Canis lupus familiaris: one gene and its partners. Each later gene encodes a partner of the first gene's protein in a complex. Links are inferred from orthologs where the notes say so. Each region holds a gene or a part of one and is shown in the gene's direction. Other genes may lie near its edges.

The links.
Region 2: KAT14 (region 1) and YEATS2 share a complex: the UniProt entries of both Homo sapiens proteins name them as parts of the ADA2A-containing complex. The link is inferred for Canis lupus familiaris from reciprocal best matches to the Homo sapiens genes KAT14 and YEATS2.
Region 3: KAT14 (region 1) and MBIP share a complex: the UniProt entries of both Homo sapiens proteins name them as parts of the ADA2A-containing complex. The link is inferred for Canis lupus familiaris from reciprocal best matches to the Homo sapiens genes KAT14 and MBIP.

Annotation. Positions count from the first base shown.
Region 1 is NC_049245.1:5,325,890-5,328,292, reverse strand, and holds part of KAT14 (cysteine-rich protein 2-binding protein), read left to right. Parts: intron 1-513; coding exon 514-704; intron 705-2,403. UniProt on the Homo sapiens protein: Component of the ATAC complex, a complex with histone acetyltransferase activity on histones H3 and H4. May function as a scaffold for the ATAC complex to promote ATAC complex stability. Has also weak histone acetyltransferase activity toward histone H4.
Region 2 is NC_049255.1:16,902,453-16,906,109, forward strand, and holds part of YEATS2 (YEATS domain-containing protein 2), read left to right. Parts: intron 1-1,562; coding exon 1,563-1,666; intron 1,667-2,638; coding exon 2,639-2,746; intron 2,747-3,207; coding exon 3,208-3,390; intron 3,391-3,657. UniProt on the Homo sapiens protein: Chromatin reader component of the ATAC complex, a complex with histone acetyltransferase activity on histones H3 and H4. YEATS2 specifically recognizes and binds histone H3 crotonylated at 'Lys-27' (H3K27cr).
Region 3 is NC_049229.1:15,070,132-15,074,387, reverse strand, and holds the start of MBIP (MAP3K12-binding inhibitory protein 1), read left to right. Parts: upstream 1-1,301; 5' UTR 1,302-1,364; coding exon 1,365-1,493; intron 1,494-4,256. UniProt on the Homo sapiens protein: Inhibits the MAP3K12 activity to induce the activation of the JNK/SAPK pathway. Component of the ATAC complex, a complex with histone acetyltransferase activity on histones H3 and H4.

The DNA of each region.
Region 1 (2,403 bases):
TACAATTATTTTGTGTTTATCCCCTTTATTGTAAAATGTAGCATTTGTACAAAAGAGCTTGTCAGCTGTATATGTATAAGGTGAAGAACAGGACAGTATGGGCTCTCGGGGTCTTTGCTCCCACCCTTGGAAGTCTAGATGTGCAGACACTGAGGCCCACGTTTAGAAAAGTGCTGGCTGACACATGTTGTAGAGGAGGCTAGGTTCACAGCCAGGTATGTCCAGTTCTAGACCTGTGCGCTCTGTGCTACTCACCGTACCCTGCCTCTCTTCTCTTAAAATGTGGACTTAGAAAAAATGGTGTTTGTTTTGATATTTTCTAAAATTCATTTTTATTTTTATGATCTGACGTATGTCTATGCATATATCTTCGTTTTCAGTTTTGTTTTTGGTTTTTTGTTTTGGTTTAGTTTTTAGCATGCAGGTGTAGTTGTAAGTACAGACTGAACAGCTTGATGTTCCTTAATTCCAGAAGGCACACAGTTTGACTCTCCAAATATCTCTTTTCCTTAGGCATTGACCTGTCTGAGTGCCTACAGTATCCAGACTTCAGTGTTGTTGTCCTTTATAAAAAAGTCATCATTGCCTTTGGCTTCATGGTACCTGATGTGAAGTACAATGAAGCTTACATTTCATTTCTGTTTGTCCATCCTGAATGGAGAAGAGCAGGGATTGCAACTTTCATGATTTATCATCTGATTCAGGTACGGCATCTGTGCTACCAGCTTACCTCTGGGCTCCCCTGGAAGACTTGGAGGAAGGATGGAGGGATGACGCCAGCTGAGCCTTCCCAGCACAGCCCGACCGAATGGGCGGGCTCGGAAACCCAGTGAGAAAACACCAGTCACCTTCCCTCCTGAGGCTGTTAACACACACACCAAAAAAAAGCTTTGCCCCTTTAAAATAAGATCACTGTTCAGGCCCAGGTTTCAAAGAAACCAGTTTGTAAACATGTATAGTAAAAATGAGAAAGTATCAAAAGTGAGACCCCAAAGCACTTGTATGACCCATATTGGTAACTGTTTCTGCTTTTAGAAACACTACTGCCATGGCTATAAGAAGTAGAAGTGGAACTGTGATCTCTAGAGGTCTTTTCTTACTGAGGTATAACTGACCTACAAAACATGCTCATTTCAGCTGTACAGTGTAATGATTTGATATTTGACTATGTTGCAAAGTGATCACCAAGGTGAGTCTAGTTACCATCCATCACCACACATGGTTACAGACACAGTTACAAACTTAGTTACAAACATTTTTTTTCTTGGGATGAGAACTCTTAAGATCTACTCTCTTAGCAACTTTCAAATATACAGTACAGTATTGTGAGCTGCAGTCTGCATGCTGTACGTGACCTCCCCAGGATTGACTGCTTTTATAAACTAGAAATCTGTACCTTTTGACCCCCGTTCAGCCAGTTCACCCACCCCCCAGCCCTGCCTCTGGCAACCGCACCAGTCTGTTCTCTGTATCTGTCTGTTCAGCCTTTCATTGTTTGTTTTTTAGATTCCACATATAAGTGAGATCATACAGTATCTTGTCTGACTTCTTTCACTGAGCATGATACCACCTATGCTATTGCAAAAGTTTTGGTATTTTTAAACATCTTAGCAAAACTGTATCAACCAGGACTACATATTCTATTACTGCTGATTATTATTGACTTTACTGTCATTGTATAAGCTGTGTAAGCCTTTGAGACTTGATTTTAATATTGAATTATAATTCATCCTTTGATATATCTGTATGACTGTTGAAGAAAATTTATATACTAATATCGAAAAACATGTAAGGAATTTATTTCTTTAATTAACTTTAATTTAGAAACCATTTGGCATGGAGGATTGTGTATTATGTGGGCAAGATTCTTTTTAAATAGAGGAAGGAGAAGATAAAATATCATTTTTCCAATTATTAACGAAACTTGCTCAGCACTTCCCAGTGCCGTCAAGAACCTAGAACCATTTTCTAGAAATTGCTTTCTTCTCTCTCCATACAGCAGTTAGCATGTACTCCCTTGTGTTGTGTTGAGAGTCTCAGTTATCTGTACCTCACCCCATTCCCCACCCCACTCACAGGCTCGACCGCCCCCTGTTCATCCTGCCGTCCTCACCAGCAGCACTGCCACCTTTCCCTTCATCAGCAGGGGCGATACTCCCAGGTTGTGTCTCATAGAAGGTCTGGTGCAGGGTCAGTGCTTACTGAGGGCTCAGCAGGTGGGTGCAGAAGTGTTCATCCTGTGTGTGGGACTCGGCCCTCAGCCAGACCATAAGCCCCAGGACCCGATGGTACTGCTCAGTCAGGCAGTAGTCCTTGATGGTGCCATGGTTAGACCATGCATCGGAACATGAGTGTCACTCCATGAAACTCATTTAATGCACTCATAGCAGTCCCACTGGGCGC
Region 2 (3,657 bases), on another chromosome or scaffold:
ATTTAAGCTTCAGAAACGAATACCTTTGTGGGCCACGTATGTTTCTTACCAAATAAAAAAATTATCTTTACTTTTCTGTGAATAAGTAAATTTTGTGTGTGGGAGGGAAATTGAACTCTGCAGTTATAAAAAGGGACCTCTGATAAGAATAAGAACTGGATTTATTGTGTCTGTTGTCATAATTTCCAATAACTACAGAGTGCTTTTTACAGTTTTTCCAAGATTTTTGCTAACATTATTTTATGTATTCGCTTCAGTTAAATTATGGGAACATGTGCTTCTAAGTGCAAACTTTCTGTAGCTTTCACTTTTAATTAAGAGAAATAGTGAAAAGAGAAGTAACTATAAGGTAATGAGACTGATTTAAAAATTTTTATTTTTATTTTATTATTTTTTTTTTTATTTAAAAATTTTTAAACATATTGATTTTAACACATGACTGTATGTTGGATCTTTCCAAGTAGTTTTTTTTTGGAAAAGTTAGGTCCTTTAACAGTGATTAGAATTATGGAAGTCCTTTCAAAAATGTTGTTTTCAGAAATTACTTAATAGCCTTTTGATTATATTTAGGGATATCAAATAGGTATCCTTTGAGGATGTTTAGTTTTAGGAATTAGCCAAAGTCTTTGCAGGCAAGTTTGATAAATGGAGCAGGTGATCAGATACCATTTTTGGTCTTGCCTTATTTTTGACTATGGATAATGGGACTTTTTTTTTCTTTTAAGATTTTATTTATTTGAAAGAGAGCACAAGCAGAGGGTGCAACAGAGGGAGAGCAGGCTCCCCACTGAACAGAGAGCCTGACTTGGGGCTCAGTCCAGGATCATGGCCTGAGCCAAAAGCAGATGCTTAACCAACTGCCGCCCAAGTGCCCCATAGATGATGGGACTTGTTTTTATCAGACCCTAAAGGCAGTTGTACAGATGGCGTATAAACTGCTTAATGTCAGCTGCACTTTGGAATAGGTATAATCTCCTAGTGAGGAGGCTTTGAAGAAGCTAGCTTTCGTTCAGATTCATACATTTGGTACATTGTTACATAACCAATATCCTTGCATATCCTACCTGTATACAGGTAGTAGAGTATGTTATGTCTAATAATTCACTTTTCTACATGTCCTTACTTGTCTATTTTTAAGTTAATGAAGTGGCTAATTTCATGGGAGGAACCCTTAAGTATTTTTTCTGTAATAATTTCATAATTTCATAGTTGTGAGTTTTCGACCCTTACAAATGAAAAATAGTGGGAGGGGCAGCCCCAGTGGCACAGCGGTTTAGCGCCGCCTGCAACCCGGAGCGAGATCCTGAAGACCAGGGATCGAGTCCTGCGTCGGGCTCCTGTGTGGAGCCTGCTTCTCCCTCCTCCTGTGTCTCTCTGCCTCTCTCTCTCTCTCTCTCTCTCTCTCTCTCTCTATGTCTATCATAAATAAATAAATCTTTAAAAAGAAAAAAGAAAAAGATGAAAAATAGTGGGAAAAGGGGGAGGGTGGTGGAAAATGTTTTAAACTTCCATTTTGTACATTTTACTTTGTACTTTATTTTAAAATCTGCCTTGCTTATCAGGAAGTCCTACAAACAAGCTCTCTACTGCCTCCCAGGCCTCCCAAGGAACAGGTTCCCCTATTCCTAAAATTCATGGAAGTAGTTTTGTAACATCTACTGTCAAGGTAACACTCTTACTGCATTATTGCACTTTTCTAGTTTATAAAGACAATAAGTTTAAGGTCAGCAAGAATTTGTTGGTCGATAATGCAAATTTCATTAAGTAGAATCTTCAAACTAATAAGTATCTTGAAGATCATTTATTCCAGACTCTCCTACCTTCCTCTTGGTCTTTTCCTAGTGTGAAAAATGTTCCTCAACACTTTTATTAGTTGGACGGTCAGTATGTATTTGAAAACTTACTCTGATGAGGAGGCAGCTATTTTTAGGAGTGGTCAGCTTTGTTACAGATTTTTCCTTATAAAAATATTCATCTGGCAGTATGCTATTTTTCTTCTTATGTTTGTCCAGTAAAGAGTAATTGTGTATTTTTTCTATACGTCAGCCATGTAGTTACCTGAAAATAATTTTTATCATTTCACAATTTATCTTTTTTTTTTCCCCTCAGGGTAAAGAAGCCTTTAAAATTAGAACTTCAAATATGATCTGACTTGTTCAGCTAATAGATACCTAGATACCTAGAGTGCTGGGTATCTGCTCACTGTTTGGTTCAAGTATATACTGAAACACTCGAACCTGTTTATTTATTTAGTGATTAGGCTCTAGGGATAGAAAAGAAAGAAAATACAGTGCCAGGCCTTAAGTGTCTTACCATCAGGCAGGGGACTAGACATGTAAATCAATGAGTCAACCAAATATTAGAGGCATATCATAGGAGACTTCCCAGCATACACTGGGGCACAGGTGAATAGGTTCTTGCCAGTTTATAGCCTTTTCTTGCATTTGGTTTCTGAAACAATATTAAAATGCTAGTGTGGGGGCTGAAGACCCCAAAGAGTTTTGAGCTTTTGATTTTCTTTTATTTTTTGGTTATGTTGCTAGAGAATGTCACAGGTTTATATTAAATATAAGGGACTGGAATATCTGAAATCACTTATTTTATCCTAATTGTATAATATGTATTTTTACATACACAGCAGGAGGATTCTTTGTTTGCATCTATGCCACCTCTTTGTCCAATTGGGAGTCACCCTAAGGTTCAAAGTCCCAAACCTGTAACTGGAGGACTTGGAGCTTTCACAAAAGTGAGTATTTATTAGGACATTATCCCATAAGTCAATATGGTTTTGTTATATAATTATTTTGTGGCATGTTGGGAGTTGGCTACCCTACAACATGTAAATTTTTAATTCTAAGACCACATCCTACTTCTGTGACATGTTTCCATATATTTAGTGGTGTCCACAGGGCAGCCCTTGGTATCTAGCAAGATCTCCTGAGAGCACAAGCTGTGTGTGCCACCAAAATCTAGAACAAATGGACTAGGATGAGTTGCAGAAACACAGGATCAAATCCAGATCCTCCTTTTCATCCCTCTGATAACTTTCATGGACTGTATTTAAGCAGTATTTTTACCTTCTAGTGGAGTCATTTTTTTTATAGACCAAGCTTCATTAATTCATTAATTTCTGCAAGCAGAATAGATTGAAATATTAGTGGCTTTATTCATAGGATGATTATTCAGTGTTATTATGTTTGTTGCCAGGTAATCATCAAGCAGGAACCTGGTGAAGCCTCTCATGTGCCTGCAACAGGAGCTGCTAGCCAGTCACCACTCCCTCAGTATGTGACTGTGAAAGGGGGTCACATGATAGCTGTGTCCCCTCAAAAACAGGTCCTAACTGCTGGAGAAGGGACTTCCCAGTCACCAAAGATTCAGCCCTCCAAGGTTTGTGTTCGGTAGGGTTGGGGAGATCAATATGTAAATGAACATTAGGTGCCTTAAATAATAGGTAGGTGCTGACAAAATTCAGATGACAGGGTTGCTCCCCCTAGAAAATCCTGTAGATGGAAGTCCTGTTGGAAAAGCAAGTTAGTGTTAAACCCGTCTGCTCTTGCAGTAATCATTGACAAGAACAGGGGCACATCTTACAGAGAGAGCTCAGGAGTAGTCAAGAGGCAAAGGGATACTTATTATCTCTCTGGCAGTGAAGGT
Region 3 (4,256 bases), on another chromosome or scaffold:
GGAGATGAGTGCCTTGAATGAGAAGGCTGCTCAATTTGGGATTATATATTGTGAAATCTTTTTCTGGATGTTTCTAGACATAGGCTGGATTATAAATTGTATATCTTGCTGTGAACAAGGGAACAGACAAGATTTCTCAAGATCCTGTCAAGCCTGGTGATCTTTGGAAATGAAAGCCTAATTAAGAGGCTCCCTAGGGACAGGTCAAAGGCGTTCTTTTATCCCTACTGACCCCATTCCAGTTCTCTGATGCCTATTCTGCTCCTTTTCATTCAGCCTACTCTAAAACTGAAGAATACATATTGTGCAAGTTTCTACCTTTGCTTCCTCTACTGTAAATGCATTAGACTATTAGAATTAAGAATTTTAAATACCTTGTCCCTAATCTCTGAACTGACGGGTTTTGTTTTTTAATAGAGCTTAACATTTAAAATTCTTCTAACCTTTGTTCTTTTCTTCAATTGAACATAAAGCTTTTAAATGTTGGACTATAAAAGTACTTCAAATATCTTTTAATAAATCTATCTGATGAGTAATACGCTGTCAAATTTCAATTCGCATTTATTTTTTCTAATTTCAAAGATTGTGCTGCATGCAATTACTTATTTGAATTAAACTGTTAGAATCGTTTTGAGTGTCTCACTTCTTTGAAAGGTTTAGGTGAGTGTCTCTACAGTATCACTCAGAGAATAGCAACTGATGCACGTTTTAAAACTTGACATAATTATTTTGCAGATTTAAAGTAATTAATGTCCTTTCTTCCATTGATAGTACAGCAGGAACAGTAGAGCATTTTATTGTTCTTTTATAGCCTCTGCTCCCTCACATGAAAAATTAGTCACGTTAATTTGTGTAAGTTTTTAAACTTTGCAGAAGTGAAAATGTTCTAAATACAAGCGTACGTGAAAGAGTTTTCCAGGGTGTAGAGGTGTGGGCCCTGCTGCACCCCCGAACAGCAATCTTTGTCCAGACCACTCCACAGCGCCATGTTAAAAGCTAAAATTTTAACTTCTAAAATTCTGACGTTTAGGTCTAAGTCTCCTCTTCAACACTCATAAGCAACACCTAAAAACACAAGACAGGCTTCAGACGCTAACGTTCCCTAGACCACCGCCCCAATCACCGTCCCAAATTCCGTACGCAGCTCCGCCAGGTCGGCAATTACCCGCTCCGGCTCCTTGGCGTGACGCTCCAGCTGCACCTGATTGGCGCACCGGCTTGTCAGTCACGAGGGTCCTCGAAGGCCCGGGCCGGACGAGACGCTGTGTTTTTACGTCATTTACCGGCGACGCAAGCGGGCGGGCGAGGGGGGCGGGTGTTGTGAGCACAGCTCGGTGGTGGCGGGGGTAGCCTGCGAAGGTGTCATGGCTGCTGCCGTTGAGCTTAGCCTCTCGAGCAGTGGTGACAGGAGTCCGGAACGGAGCTGCAGCCCCAATCTCTCCCAAGAGGTGCTCCGCGAAATCTTTCGCTCACTGCATAGCCTGGTGGGACAAGTGAGTGGTGGTCTGTGGGAGCAGAGCAGGGGGTTGGGAACTCTCCGGCCCCTCCCCCCTTTTTTCCTCTAGCGGAGGCGGGGGGCTGCTTAGGGCTGCCGGGGACCGGGACTGAGTACTGAGGCCGGCGGAGGAGCCTGAGCCTAGCTGCGGTCGGAGCGAGGAAGGCCGTACGGGCTGGCAATTCTCCCCAAGAGTGAGAGGATAGTGTAAGTGAAAAACCTGGCTCCCAGAAGAACATGCTTGGAGAGAGCGAAGGCGTAAAAAGCTTTGTGGGTTTGGAGGGTGCCTGGCGCTCAGCATCCCCTATCCTTCAGTGAATTTGTGATAGAAATTGATAGAAGTAACGGCCTGAGAGTTTTGGCAAAGCTCTCTCCGCTTTTTTTTTGGGGGGGGGGGGGGGTTGATTTGCTTTTAGGAGTCACTTGGTTTTCTTTCTTTTTTTTTTTTTCCTTCTGGTTGTTACATGTGCATCTCTTACCCTTTCATATGGGGAGGAAAAATGAAAGGAATTAATGTAAATACTTCTTGCATAAAATTCGATGAGTTATCCATGATTGATAGAGTTTGCATCAGAACTGTTTGTCATTTAATTATTAGCTAATTTAACTGACTGATGAATAGCTTCTGCAGAAATGTCATAATAAATTGGGTTTAAATAAAAGTACTCCTTACACTATTCAATCAAGTCAACTGTTTCATGAAATAAAATGCAAAGCATATTACAAATGATAAACAACTTGAAAATAAGTTTGTTTGCTTTTAAAAAGGAAATCTTTTGTATCTTAGACGGAATATTTTTTTACTCTAAAAGTTTGTTATGGGGTTGGTATTAGTGCATGTAGTAGGCACAGCAAACATTTATGTCGAGGATAATGTTTATGAAAACAACACCTGTCTAGTTTGTAAAAAGTTATTTTTAAAAGCCGTGAGTGGATGGAGAATTAATTTTTTAAAAGGTTATTTCAGTATTTTTAAAAATCCTAATATGTTTGTCCTTAGAAAAAGCATTACTCTAAGTTAAACATTTAATTTGGTCTAACGGAACAATTATTAACAGAATCTGCTAAAAGTTGTAACTGTTGAGCTCAGTTGTTTGCCGCCAACTTATTAAAATTTTTTAAAGACTTGGGGACATTAACATTTTAGTCTTATCACCCAAGACCTGTAATGGTTAAAAGTCTGAGAACGTTTTCTGTCTTGGATATTGGAATTTTAAGGTTTATTTATATTTTAATGTCACGATGAAAAAAGTTTATGCTTACCTGTAATTTACAGTTTTATTTTCAGTGGTGATAAATTTTTTAAAGTAACATTAAGAAATAATTTAAACATTTCTTTTGAAATATTTTTGCATACTGAATTTTTAAAACTCATTTACAGATTTTAAACATTCGCGTATTTTGTGATTAAAGTTTACTTATGTCACCTGTCAAAAATGTTGAGAGTACATATTTGGAAAGTTTACATGACACATTGAAGGGACCATCTATACAGGTGTCAAAAAATTAAATCATTGTCTCATCAATTAAATACTATTTTGATATTAGTCTTTATATTTTGAGATGTATTGTTTAAAGGGAAGAATGAAAGCCACAATATTATAAAATTGCCCCTGGAGGAAATCACTATGTACTTTTGCAACAAGTTTATAGGATATTTTTTTTAATGTAAGTTTCAAAAAAAAAAAAAGTAAGTTTCAATATGCCTAGTTTCATTCTGCATAGTATCATTATATTGTTGGCTCTCCTCAATAGGAAACATAAAATTGAATGTTAAAAAGTATCCCAGATTTCAAATTTACTTATTTTAACCTTATTGCTTGCCACAGCATGGCTCATTCTACCAAGTTGAAGCATTATTTATTGTTAGCTTGGAGTTTCATACTAATTTTTTATGGAAAATGCTTACTTAAATAGTCCATATTAATGTCACACCAATACATTTTTGAGTGAATGCTTTACGTTTACAAGTTATAAAGGGTAAAAATGCATCGAATTCGTATTACTAATAGGGAATTTGTTGAATAAATAGTTGGATATATTATGATAATTTTAAAGTTAATTTGTATCATTATGTAGTTTTCTTTAAAAAAACCAAGTGTCTTTAATTGTGCTTGAAAGGCTTACATAATTATGCTGAATTGAAAGGAGAATATGATCCCAACATTAAGATTTATTTTATTTGTTTATTTTCTTTAGGAAATTTGATGCTTTACTTTAGTTGAGGATTTGTCTGTGTTATCCCAAAACTCTATTTATAAATTTGTTAGGAACTGTAGATCTCTTAGAGGACTGTAGAAGTACAGTAATTAAATAATATAAACTAAGATTAATGCAGTAATCTTAATGTAAAACTTTAGTTAATATAATCTAATCTCTGCCAGTGTAGCCTATCCAAAATTTCTTATTTCTTTATAGTTGTCTGATACAGACTTTAAATGTTTCTTGTCTCATGGAAAAGGTGGTAAATTTTTGTCATACAGTATTCATTAAGTATACTGCCTTTTTTGGGTAACTTTGGATTTCTGGTTCTTTGTACAGTGATTCATCTTTTTGTTTTATTAGAATCACAACTCATAACATCAGTATTTGAACTAATGTAATACTTGCCTTTATTTTGTGGAAAACATGACTTAATAAATGATTTCTGAAAAAAAAATAAACTTAATTCTACCATGCATCATAGCTTTATAGTATGCTATAAACACATGTCTCTAGAAAAGTTTATGAGGTTCATTTGTATTCACTTGAAAGCCTAGAG